Linked DNA regions of Macaca mulatta. The protein of the gene in region 2 interacts with the protein of the main gene of each other region in a biochemical or structural test. Links are inferred from orthologs where the notes say so. Each region holds a gene or a part of one and is shown on either strand. Other genes may lie near its edges. The genes, in order: NRP1, VEGFA and SPARC.

Region 1 (3,649 bases), on a different chromosome or scaffold from region 2:
TTACAGCCAACAGGCCTCCTTTGTCTTAAATTTGCCCAAAAGGCTTATCCCATTTTGTTATAATTAACATCGTATTATATAATGATGTATAACAAAAGTTTCAATGTAGCAAATGGAGCTTAAGACTAATTACCATGCTATTACACTGCCATTAGTAATGCTATTTGTAATTATATATCAAGAACTAGGGAATATGAATTGGTTTTCTATGTCTTACATCCACCTAGTACAAGAACCATAAAGACCAACTCTGAAATACTAGGCCAAGTTTCTGAATTTCATTTAAGTCTTTTAAGCCATTTCAGCTATTTTAAAAGTCAGAAACATCTACTTATTTGTAATAAAGCAAAGAATTATGGCTTCTATGGTTCATTAACAATGTATTCTTAATTAAACTCGTCCTGATCAAAGTTTTCAGAGGCTTGCTGTTTTGTTTATACACTCAGATATTTGGAATTATCCAATGTCTGACTTTCCGCTGCTCATCAAAATGTTTCCGTATGGCATATACAGCTTGTAAGCTGGGTCTTCTTAGCTATACTCTTTGGATTCTGCATTATTTGTGGAGTTTTGTAGGTATCAAGCAGACATTATGAAGGACCTAGGGTAGGTAATGGGACAGCCACAGGTAAATTGGGCTGATTTTATGCCCTGTTGCACCAGAATATGCATTTCCTATGATGTGTCGAGAGGCCACACGGAAATTCCAAGTAGAAATGGGCAAAACAAAGACCACCACTTTGGCAAGAGTCTTGCCCTGGGCAAGTACTCCATTGGTTTCTACAGCAGCTCATACTTACTTGCACAATCTTCTTGTGAAATGTGGTTATTGATACTAATGTCATCCACAGCAATCCCACCAAGGTTTCCTTTTCCGATTTCGCCCTCGAAAATCACCTAACAAAATAAGATCATTTTCACAGTATTGAAATGCTCATCTCACGTGGCAGAGTTTACAAATGCTTGTTCAGCTCCCGCTATGACACATAAATTAAATTCATCAGATTCAGTGTAAGCACACACTTCACTCATCAATCCACATTAGCTGCCTGGTGATGGCATGCACCTTCTCCTCACACTCTCTTTTTATAATACAAACTTTAAAATGGGAGAAAGCAGCAAACAAAAGGAATAATACATTGTGAAAGCCCAGAAATAGATGACATGGAAGTCCTTTGTGTTCTTTCTCAGCAAATTGGTTCTGTTCCTACAATATAGGAGACTGTGAAATCTGCTATGAAGGTGGTTATCATTGCAGCAATATCTCAGGGTTGGGAAACACTGGAAATAATTTCAGAATAATTCCCGCATCTCATTTGCACAACCTCCAACATATCGTCTCAGTATTCCTGCAGCCACTGCCCTTTCCAGCCTTGGGAAGAGGTCATACCTGATAAAGTTTCAGAGACTTGTGAAGCAAGACACGCCCTTCCTTCCAGTGGTCACCTTGGTGTCCAATGGCCATCCAGACCAGCTGATCGTACTCCTCTGGCTTCTGGTAGCGCAGTTTGACCCTGAGTGTGCCGACGTGGGACCCAGACATGTGATACCAGAAGGTCATGCAGTGGGCAGAGTTCTGGGAATAAACCACAGGGCTCACCAGGCGAGCCACTTTGCCCTTCTGATTTTCATCAGCTTGGGAATAGATGAAGTTGCCATCTCCTGCTATGACAAAGAACTGTGTTAGGGAGAGTGGCCAGGATTACCACACTTTTATCTCTCTTATTTCAAGTCTCACTAATCAAAAGCTTCCTGCGCTGAGTGCCAAGAACTAAAATATGTAGTGGAAAGGGAGAAGTGTGCATACTTGGGGACCTCATGGGCACCTGAGGCCCTGCTCTCAGCTCCTGCAAAATGGACATTTGATTAGGGGAAGGCTGAGTGGCACTAATTAGGATACTACTTATAATGGAATACATTTTCATATGGACACAGGCTATGGCTCAAGCTGGCATTTGTACCATCACAAGCAAACTGAAAGCAAAGTCTGTGCATAGCCTGGACTGAAAACGCCTGGCTCTCTAAGAAGAAACCTTATTTATTTATTTATTTGTTATGTTTAGACACTCCTGTTGCCCAGGTTGGGATGCAGTGGTGCGATCATAGCTCATTGCAGCCTCAAACTCCTTGGTTCAAGTGATCATCCTGCCTCAACATTCTGAGTAGCTATGACTATGGGCCCGTGTCACCATGCTCAGCTAGTTCTTAAAAAGATTAATTTTTTCTTTAAGAAGAGATAGAGTCTTTGTTGCCTGTGTTGCCCAGGCTAGTCTCAAACTCCTGGTCTCAAGCAATCCTCCCACACTGGCCTCCCAAAATGCTGGGATTACAGGCATGATTCACCACGCTGGGCCTAAGAAACCCTGTTTTCATGCAACTTTAAGATCGCACAGCAGCATCCATGTGAACACATGCATTAAATGAAATCATTGAGATGTATTTTTATTTATCATTTGAGCAGCAGGAATTCTGATTAAAGAAACTTCTGTCAATATGACTCCTTGATAATCATAAACCTGTAGTTCTTCCTAATAATGTAGTAGTCTTTTAAAAAAAACTTTTTCAAGTTCAGATTATTTTTCCCATAGTTTGTTTTCACGGTTTTTGAATTCCTTAAACACACCTGAGAGCTTGCATCTCTCCTGTGAGCCCTGCTCCTATTTGAGGTGGGCTTCTGGCCCAAGGAGAGGAAGGTTGCCTTGTTGAGGTTCATTAGAACGTGCCATTTTGGCAACATAGACACTTGCTGAACTGCGAGGACTTTCTCTTGGCTTCACTTTTAATGACCCCCACTGGGAACATTTCCTCCTGCCACCACCTGGTCTAAACACACAACCCATGTTTCACTGTTGGCTTTGCAAATAGAAATCATCTTCTCTAACGCCTCACCTGATTAAGTGTGAATCTGCTGCTCGGGCCTCAATGGGCAGCAGGAGGTTGTGTTTGTTGCCCAAGAGGCTTGTGTGTTTGCAAGGTGCTTTCTCACTGTGCACACGTGGGCACATACTCCTCTCTGCTCGCCTGTGTCAACAGTGTCCAGGTGGATGTGGATGTGTTCACGGGCAGTTTCCTTTCCTTACCTGGCTGCTTATGTGAGAGCCCACCCTTCTTCAAACCAGTGGGTGGAATCATAAGGGAAGGGTGTTCACAAGTGGCAACTCTAGCCCCTCTAGTAGGTTTGATACTGCAGGACGAATGTCCCTCTCGCTCTCCGACCTTGCAGGGTGTCCTCTGTGACTGAGCTGATCCATTCACACTTAGGATTTGTTTGCCCACTAATTTATCAAGATGTGATCACCTTGATGGTGATCCATCAAGATCCATCAAGATCCATCAATCCACCAAGATGGGAAAAAAATACACCCATTGTGCCTCCGTCCCCCCAGTCTTATGGAAAAAAGACTGAAATTGGCAATGCTGCTGCCATGTCTTAATCCCACTTATTGAGCTCACTGCTCGAAGTTTATTGAGGCCAGTCAGAGAATGGGTGTTAGAAAGAAGGAGAGAAGTGGACGTAGGTAGAGGGATGCTCTCCCATTGGACATCCTCACTCAACTGCACCATGATCACTTCCTACCCACAACCAGACAGAGAGTTCCTCAAGCACAGGGACCCCCTCCTTCATAGCTGTATTTCCAGTGCCCAACAC
Region 2 (3,649 bases):
TCTCCTCAAGCTGCCCACCCTGGGATGGCAAACCCAGTCCCTGACAAGGCTTTGGTGGGAAACCGAGACTGGGTGGAGGGCACAGGACCCAAGGGTCTCCATGCTCACAATGGCGCCCGGTCTCCAGCAGGGGGCTAAGCCTGAGGGAAGGCTCTTTGCCCAGCAGCCCTGTCCAAGTCTGACCCTGAAGGTCAGGGGGTGATAAAAGGTAGGCCAGACTTTGGGGAGAAGGTCAGAGACCTGCCTGGATGGGGAGCAGGAGTGGGAGGGCAGGCTGTGCGTCAGGCACCTTCTGCCTTCATTTCCGACTGCGACAGAACCTCTGGGAATCCCGGTGTGGGGGAAGTGGCTACCTTGGGAGCTGGCACAGAACCAAGAGCAACACCAGCCTGCTCAGTGCGACCTGTACTGGGAGGCAGGGCTGGGTGTCCTGGAGCCCTGGGCAGGCAGCAGGGTGGGGTGGGAGTTAAGGAGGGCTGGGGAGGAGGGGCTTGGGCGGTACTTGGCAGGGAGTTCTCTCCCCAGCCTGTCAAAGCCTGCTACACCATCTCACCAGACACTCTTCCGAGCCCAGGCGAGCCCCCCACTCTACCCGTGGCAGAGCAGTCATTTGGGGAAGTGGGAAGGGGGGCAGGCTGTAGCCTGTCCCCTTCAAGAGAACCAGCGCTCTCCATGCCTGCCAGGCCCAAGAGAACACACCTCAGAATGTCTGTCACAGGGAAGAAAGGAGGGGGAGAAGGGACCAGAGAGGGTAAGTCTGTCCCCCTTAGGAGAAAGCACCAAAGGGTGGAAGGAAGGTTTCCGCATCCTCTCGTTCTGGAAGCTGGGGGCTGAGGGAAGAGGCAAGGGGTTGAGGCCTGGCGGGGGCTTCAATGTCCCCACAGCACTGGAGGCAGACAAGATGGTGTGGGGGAAAGGGCAGGGCACAGGTGCTCTCTCTCAGTCTCTCTTTCCCTGCAAGCTCTTGCCGATGCCAGTCGCCCACCCTGTCTTGAAGGGTTACTGCCCCCAGACCTTGTCCCCCGCCCCATCCTACCCGCCCCTTAAAAAGGAGCACTCACAAGCCTCTGAAAATGACCAACATTCAACTTTTTCTCCCTGGCCAAGAGGGCTGTGTGTCTGCCGCCTGCCGCCTACAGGAGGGCATGCGCTGAGAAACCACCCTCCAGCCGGCCTTGCATCCAACTGCACCATCACAGTAGCCACCAAAAGAGGCCATTTCCTCTGACACACAAAAGCTGGCCTCTCTGCCACCCACTCCCTCTCCCCACTGTGGGTGCCCTAGAGCAAGCCAGTGAACCAGTGTCCACAGTGCCCCCTGACACACCAAAACAGCAAGTCCTGGCCAGGAATGATCTGGAGACCCGGAAGGCACTGTCCCTTACAAAGGAAGTGCCAGGCTCCTGGCTGGGTTTTCTCACTAGCCCTAGAGCCATCATCCTGGAGTTGGCTCCATCCCATTGTTGCTGACACCACAAGTCCCCCACAAGACCAAGTCTCTGACCCCGGGAGGCTATGGGAGCCCCCAACAGAGGTAGCCAAGAGCCCCAAACCAAGACAACCGGCCATGGAGAGGGAGAAGTGCTAAAGTCAGGGCCACTTACTTTTCTTGTCTTGCTCTATCTTTCTTTGGTCTGCAATGGGTAGGAAGAGAGAAAAGAACAAAACAGAGAAGGGTTAAGATGGTGATGATAATGACAGGGAAAACAACAATAATAATCACAGTAAAAACAGCATTTATTATGGAGCAACACTGTTTTAACCTTCTCATATATAACTTGTTTAATCCTTATAACAATGCTATGAAGTACACTACTATTGTGCCCATTTTACAGATGTAGAAACTGAGGAACACTGAAGTAAAATGCCAAAGGTCACACAGCTGGAAGCTGCACGTGGGCTAAAAAGTACAACATGCTTAACCCTGGCACAGATCAGACACCCTGCAGCCACTTGCTGATAATGAATCCTCGACTACATCCTCACCTGCATTCACATTTGTTGTGCTGTAGGAAGCTCATCTCTCCTATGTGCTGGCCTTGGTGAGGTTTGATCCGCATAATCTGGAGGGGAAGGAAGCAGATCACAGAGGTTAGTGACCCAGCCAGCCATACCCAGATGGGACAACCCTGGGGCTCCTGCCACTCAGCACCCAGGGGTTCTGCAGAGCAGGGATGGGTGGTGGAGACAGGGAGGACCAAGAGCTCTAGCAGGAAAGAGGCTCAGGCCCACCCCAACTCCCCCAACCCTGCTGGCCTCAAGGAGCCCTTGTTCCACTTGAGGCCAAGACAAGGCTGCAAGGGTTGGCCAGGCTGGGAATTCAAATCCTAGGTTCTTACCACTCCCCATGCCCTCCCCTTCTTTCATCCTCTCTAGGCTTCACCCTGACTCCTAGCAGATACCCAAAAGCAACCCCCTCCCTGTGTTTCACAGCTCCCTCCCACCCTATCTGGGCTGAGATATACCCCATTACCAGGTAACACCAAAGACTTTTTAAACTCTTCATGGACCAGGCTCATTCAGCTTCCCAAACAGAGCCCCCAAGAAGAGAGGGCCCTCAGGATTCTCTCCAAGAGAGGGAGAGAGGGGCCTCTGACACAGGCATCCATCTGCCCCCTCCTGAGCCAGGGAGGAGGAGATGGTTGGGGCTTGCTGGGAACCTGGGCTGGGAATACAAGCATCTTCTTCACAGAAGGCAAGACCCTACCACACCTCCCCTGTGCAACTCAGGGGCAGGAGCCAGACAAGGCAAGTCTAGCCAGAAAACGACCTGGGACCACCTGTTCCCAAAGTGTTACGCCCCTCCCTATCCCCCCCTGCCCCCACTTCCCAAAGATGCCCACCTGCATGGTGATGTTGGACTCCTCAGTGGGCACACACTCCAGGCCCTCGTCATTGCAGCAGCCCCCACATCGCATCAGGGGCACACAGGATGGCTTGAAGATGTACTCAATCTCATCAGGGTACTCCTGGAAGATGTCCACCAGGGTCTCGATTGGATGGCAGTAGCTGCGCTGATAGACATCCATGAACTTCACCACTGCGTGAGAGGCGGTGACACATGAGCCCGGTGGACGACACAAAAGATGGCTAGCCCCTCTCTCCACCCAGCTCTGTAAAGCCACTCCTTGGAGCTTCCGTATCAGGCAAGTCCTTCTAAAAATCTACGTCCCTCCTACTGTGTTTGAAGCACTTCCCTAAGCTTTCCACCATCAACACTGGTGAAGGCCTGTTTTCATTCCAGAGATCACACGATATACTCAAGTTCCAAGGGACATGGCCTGCCACATCTGATCCCACCACCTCACTGTGACAGCTGAACTGAATCCTGGGCCAACCTCGATGCCAGAGGACAGTTTGAGTGTCAGTATACCTCATGGGGATGTTGTAAGCTTTCCCTAAAAGGAGGAAAAGCCAGCTTTGCCAAGCTAGTCTCCAGTTTCCTACATCCTCCCCACAACCACTACGATAACATCAACCACACCAACAGCTATTTATTGAGCACTTACTACATCCTGGTTACTGTGTACAGTAGTCCATAGCTATCATCTCACACAAGTTTCTCCACATGGGACTATGAGACACTATTGAGATTCCATTTTACAGATGGGGAACAGGAGGCTCAAAGAGGCTAAGTTGCCCCAAGGCC
Region 3 (3,649 bases), on a different chromosome or scaffold from region 2:
AGTGACAGCCTCAGGCAAACCACGTTCTGGTTGGTGGGTTCTGCAGGGACCTCTCCCATCACTGGGCCTCTAGTCCCAAAACCATCCTTGACAACATCGTGTGTCTGTTACTTCCCTTTGCCCACCTTCAGGCCACCTGGGGAAGCCCACAGGCAGCCAATACCCTGAAATGAAATGAACACAAAGTCTGACTCGGTGAGTATTAGTTTCAAACAGAATACTAGAGAGAAAAGTTGAAGCTGCAATGTGTGTTTAAGGCAGAGTCCAGCAGATCCATATCCACCCATGTGCCAATAAGACAATGGGCAAAGCTACAAATGGCAAGAGAAAAATGGGACTATTAATGAGTGTGGAAAAGGCCTTAATAGTTAAGTTACAGCTAAGAATGTCATGTCTTGGGTTAGAATTTTCATTTTTAGCACCGTTAAAGTATTCACTTAAATCTATGTTAGCACCTTGTCCCCAGGCAGAACAACAAACCATCCAAACATTTTAAACATTGGGGGAAACAGGAAGGGGAGGGTTAAAGAGAGAGAATCCGGTACTGCGGAAGGAGTGGATTTAGATCACAAGATCCTTGTCGATATCCTCTGCAAAGCAAGAAAAGATCAGGGTTAAAAATAAGGCTGTGTCGATGATGACGCACTTCCCAAGGAGTTGGTGGACTCCCACCCATCCCCAGGGACAGGGGTCTAGGTGGCCGTCCAAGGTCACCCAGGAAGTCAGTGACGGAGGAACCTCGCTTTCCCTGTCTCTGGCCTTTCCCTGTCTCTTACACACGCTGCCAAGTTACACTTCCTGTTTCCTCTCTGTGTGCCTGCCAGTTCCCAAAATAGTGTTTAGCACAAGGTGAGTGCTAACGCTGGAGGAAGGGAAAGAGAGAGAGACAGTCGGACGGACAGAGAAGGATCAGGAAGATGCCCAACAAACCGGAGTCAAATAGGCAGACAGAGCAGAGACAGGCAGAGAGGACAGACAACAGACAGACCAAGAGAGCAGAGAGTGTGAGGATGACAAGCCAGAACCCTGGGAGCAGTGCTTCTGCCCATGCCCCTTGCTCCTTTGCTCAGACACTCACTCTGCTTGATGCCAAAGCAGCCGGCCCACTCATCCAGGGCGATATACTTGTCATTGTCTAGGTCACAGGTCTCGAAAAAGCGGGTGGTGCAGTGCTCCATGGGGATGAGGGGAGCGCGCAGTGGGGCCAGCTCGGTGTGGGAGAGGTACCTGCAGGGAAGAAGGCAGGAGAGGGCCTGAGGCATGGAAAAGCTCCACACCCAGCCTAGGGAGGCAACCGGGGAGTTAGCCTGCCCCAGAGCGTGGAGGAAAGGATATTTAAAGCAGGACAAAAAGCCAGAATCCCAGGTCTACCCCTAGCTCTGCCACTGACTGCTCTGAGACTCAGAGAACAGCAGTGCCCCATTTGGAACCTCAGTTTCTCCTTCCAGCAAAGAGGAGGAGTTAGCTGTAATCACTAACAGCCCTTCCAGTTCTACGGTTTCATGGGCTCAAAAACAAAGGTCTTTTTGGTGTGTTTGATTGTTTCCCAATTGGCTGAGAACTGGGGGCACAGAAACTTAAAATCAAAATTCAGCACTTCTGCTATGGGTAGATCAAAATCTGGCATAACACAACCCTGTATATTGTCTATGGACACACATTTATATAACTATAAATGCCTAGTAAAGCGTCTAAAAAGCCACACCAATCTGGTGACAGTGCGGCCGTCTGGGAAGGAATGTGGAAAGGGACTGGGATTGGCCGTGAGGGTTAATAGGAGCTCTAACCATCTTCATAGAGCTTTACTTGTGTATCCTGTAATGTCTGAGAGGGAGGTCCCTTGGATGTCTCCCACTGTCCTCCCTCCCTATTCTCCCTGCTGGCCTTAGACTCCAGAGCATGTGTATAATTTTTTTCTTTGTTCCCCAGAGCCCCCAGCTACTTGTCCCTAAAACACTCTCCCCGCCAAGGATCTCCAGGGAACAATGTGACTCCAGTTGTCTTCTTAACCTCTAGACCTCCCAGCCCCACCCAGCTCACCAAAGAAATCACACAATGTTTGAACTGATAGGAACCTTCTCCTCCCCTTCATTGTACTGGTGGAAAACCGAGGCCCAGGGAGGGGCAGGGATGCAGGCAAGGTCACCTACAGCCCTGGGATGGGAGGAGGAAGAAGTGGGTCCCCTTGCCCAGGCTGGAGCCCTTTCCCAGATGTGCAGTCCTTGCACCCCATCTGGAAGCCTCCCTCCAGGCCCTCTGTTGCAGTGGGATCCAGTTGCTTTGCCTGAGCTCCAGATGTTCCCCCTTGACTTTTCCCCTCCCTGCCACAATGAGTGACTCAGTTGGATCCCAGCCATGGCAAGAGCCTGGGAGAGAAGTGGCCGGGAGATTCCCAGAGCTCAGGAGACCCCAGCCCTCGGGATCACTGGCAGGGTTGGCGGACTCCAGGCACACGGGCTGGATAAAGAGCAAGGGGTGAAAATCCTAGAGAGGCAGTTCCCTGAGTGTGTGAGTAGGGGAGCCCTTCCTTTCTGCTGTGTGTGATGCTCTGCTTCCACAACCCAAGGACAAAGTGAAAACAACTCTGGGAAGGTGCAGGTGTGGCTTGCTCTATCTGAGGCTGAGCGGGAGCTCTCACTTCATCACCACAAGAAAAGTTCAGAAGGTAGTGACAGGGTTATGAACAGAGTATGAGTCCATAAGGGCAAGGACCATGCCAGCTCTGATTGCTGTTCAATCCCCTGCCTAGAATAGTGCAGGGCACAAAATGCACACTCAGTAAGCATTTGCTAACTGACCAGCTGCCTGCTTGTTCTGCAGTGCAGTTGCAAGTGCCTCATAACTCATTTGGACAAGGGACAAGAGTCCTCAAACTGGGGGCTCGCAAAATAGATGGGATTTTTTGGATAACTTCCAGGGTCAGTTGCGCCCTGTTGGGGCTGGGCCTTAGGAGAGGGCTTAGACAGTACCAGGTGGCTGCACTGCCTCTGGATGTTCTGCTGAAGGACAGGAAGCATATGGCTGACACCACCTTGTCCCCTGCCACCCCTTGGAGCCTGGTACTCCTTCCTAACTCACACTCCTTCATTATCCAGATATCCACGCCTAGTACTTGCAGGATTATGGAGCTATTTTGAGCTCCTACTGACTTTCACCTCAGCATGAGAGTGTCTTATTGGTTTCTTTCTCCCAAGTCCACATCTTTTCTCCAGATGCCTCATCTTTCTGCTCCAATCCCCAGGCAAACTGTGGATGCCAGGGCTAGAAGCAGCATAGGCTGCTGAGAGGCTTTCTGGCCCTAGCTAGCGCACCTGCCAGCCTGGAGTCATGGCTCTGTCCACTCTAGGGTCTGGGGTCTTACCCATCAATGGGGTGCTGGTCCAGCTGGCCGAACTGCCAGTGCACAGGAAAGATGTACATGTTGTAGTTCTTCTCAAAGTCCCGGGCCAGCAGCTCCACGGGGTGGTCTCCTGCCTCCAGGCGCTTCTCATTCTCATGGATCTTCTTCACCTGAGGGAGTAGAGACCGTGTGTGACAAGAGGTCCACGGAGATTGTCTGGGCCAGTCGGGCCCTCCCACCCCTGCCAGAAGGCCAGAGCAGGCAGAGACTAACTAGACCAAAGCTCACAATGAGGGGAAGGAGGTGTCA

Evidence for each region.
Region 1: the proteins of VEGFA (region 2) and NRP1 form a complex in vitro, tested with the Homo sapiens proteins (8 studies listed by BioGRID, with this or other methods). The link is inferred for Macaca mulatta from reciprocal best matches to the Homo sapiens genes VEGFA and NRP1.
Region 3: the proteins of VEGFA (region 2) and SPARC form a complex in vitro, tested with the Homo sapiens proteins (2 studies listed by BioGRID, with this or other methods). The link is inferred for Macaca mulatta from reciprocal best matches to the Homo sapiens genes VEGFA and SPARC.

What each region holds. Positions count from the first base shown.
Region 1 is NC_133414.1:34,570,969-34,574,617, forward strand, and holds part of NRP1 (neuropilin-1), read right to left. Parts: intron 1,663-3,649; coding exon 1,391-1,662; intron 898-1,390; coding exon 801-897; intron 1-800. UniProt on the Homo sapiens protein: Cell-surface receptor involved in the development of the cardiovascular system, in angiogenesis, in the formation of certain neuronal circuits and in organogenesis outside the nervous system. Mediates the chemorepulsant activity of semaphorins.
Region 2 is NC_133409.1:138,337,258-138,340,906, forward strand, and holds part of VEGFA (vascular endothelial growth factor A, long form), read right to left. Parts: intron 3,041-3,649; coding exon 2,844-3,040; intron 2,064-2,843; coding exon 1,987-2,063; intron 1,635-1,986; coding exon 1,605-1,634; intron 1-1,604.
Region 3 is NC_133411.1:160,596,819-160,600,467, forward strand, and holds part of SPARC (SPARC), read right to left. Parts: intron 3,511-3,649; coding exon 3,362-3,510; intron 1,228-3,361; coding exon 1,079-1,227; intron 591-1,078; coding exon 562-590; 3' UTR 1-561.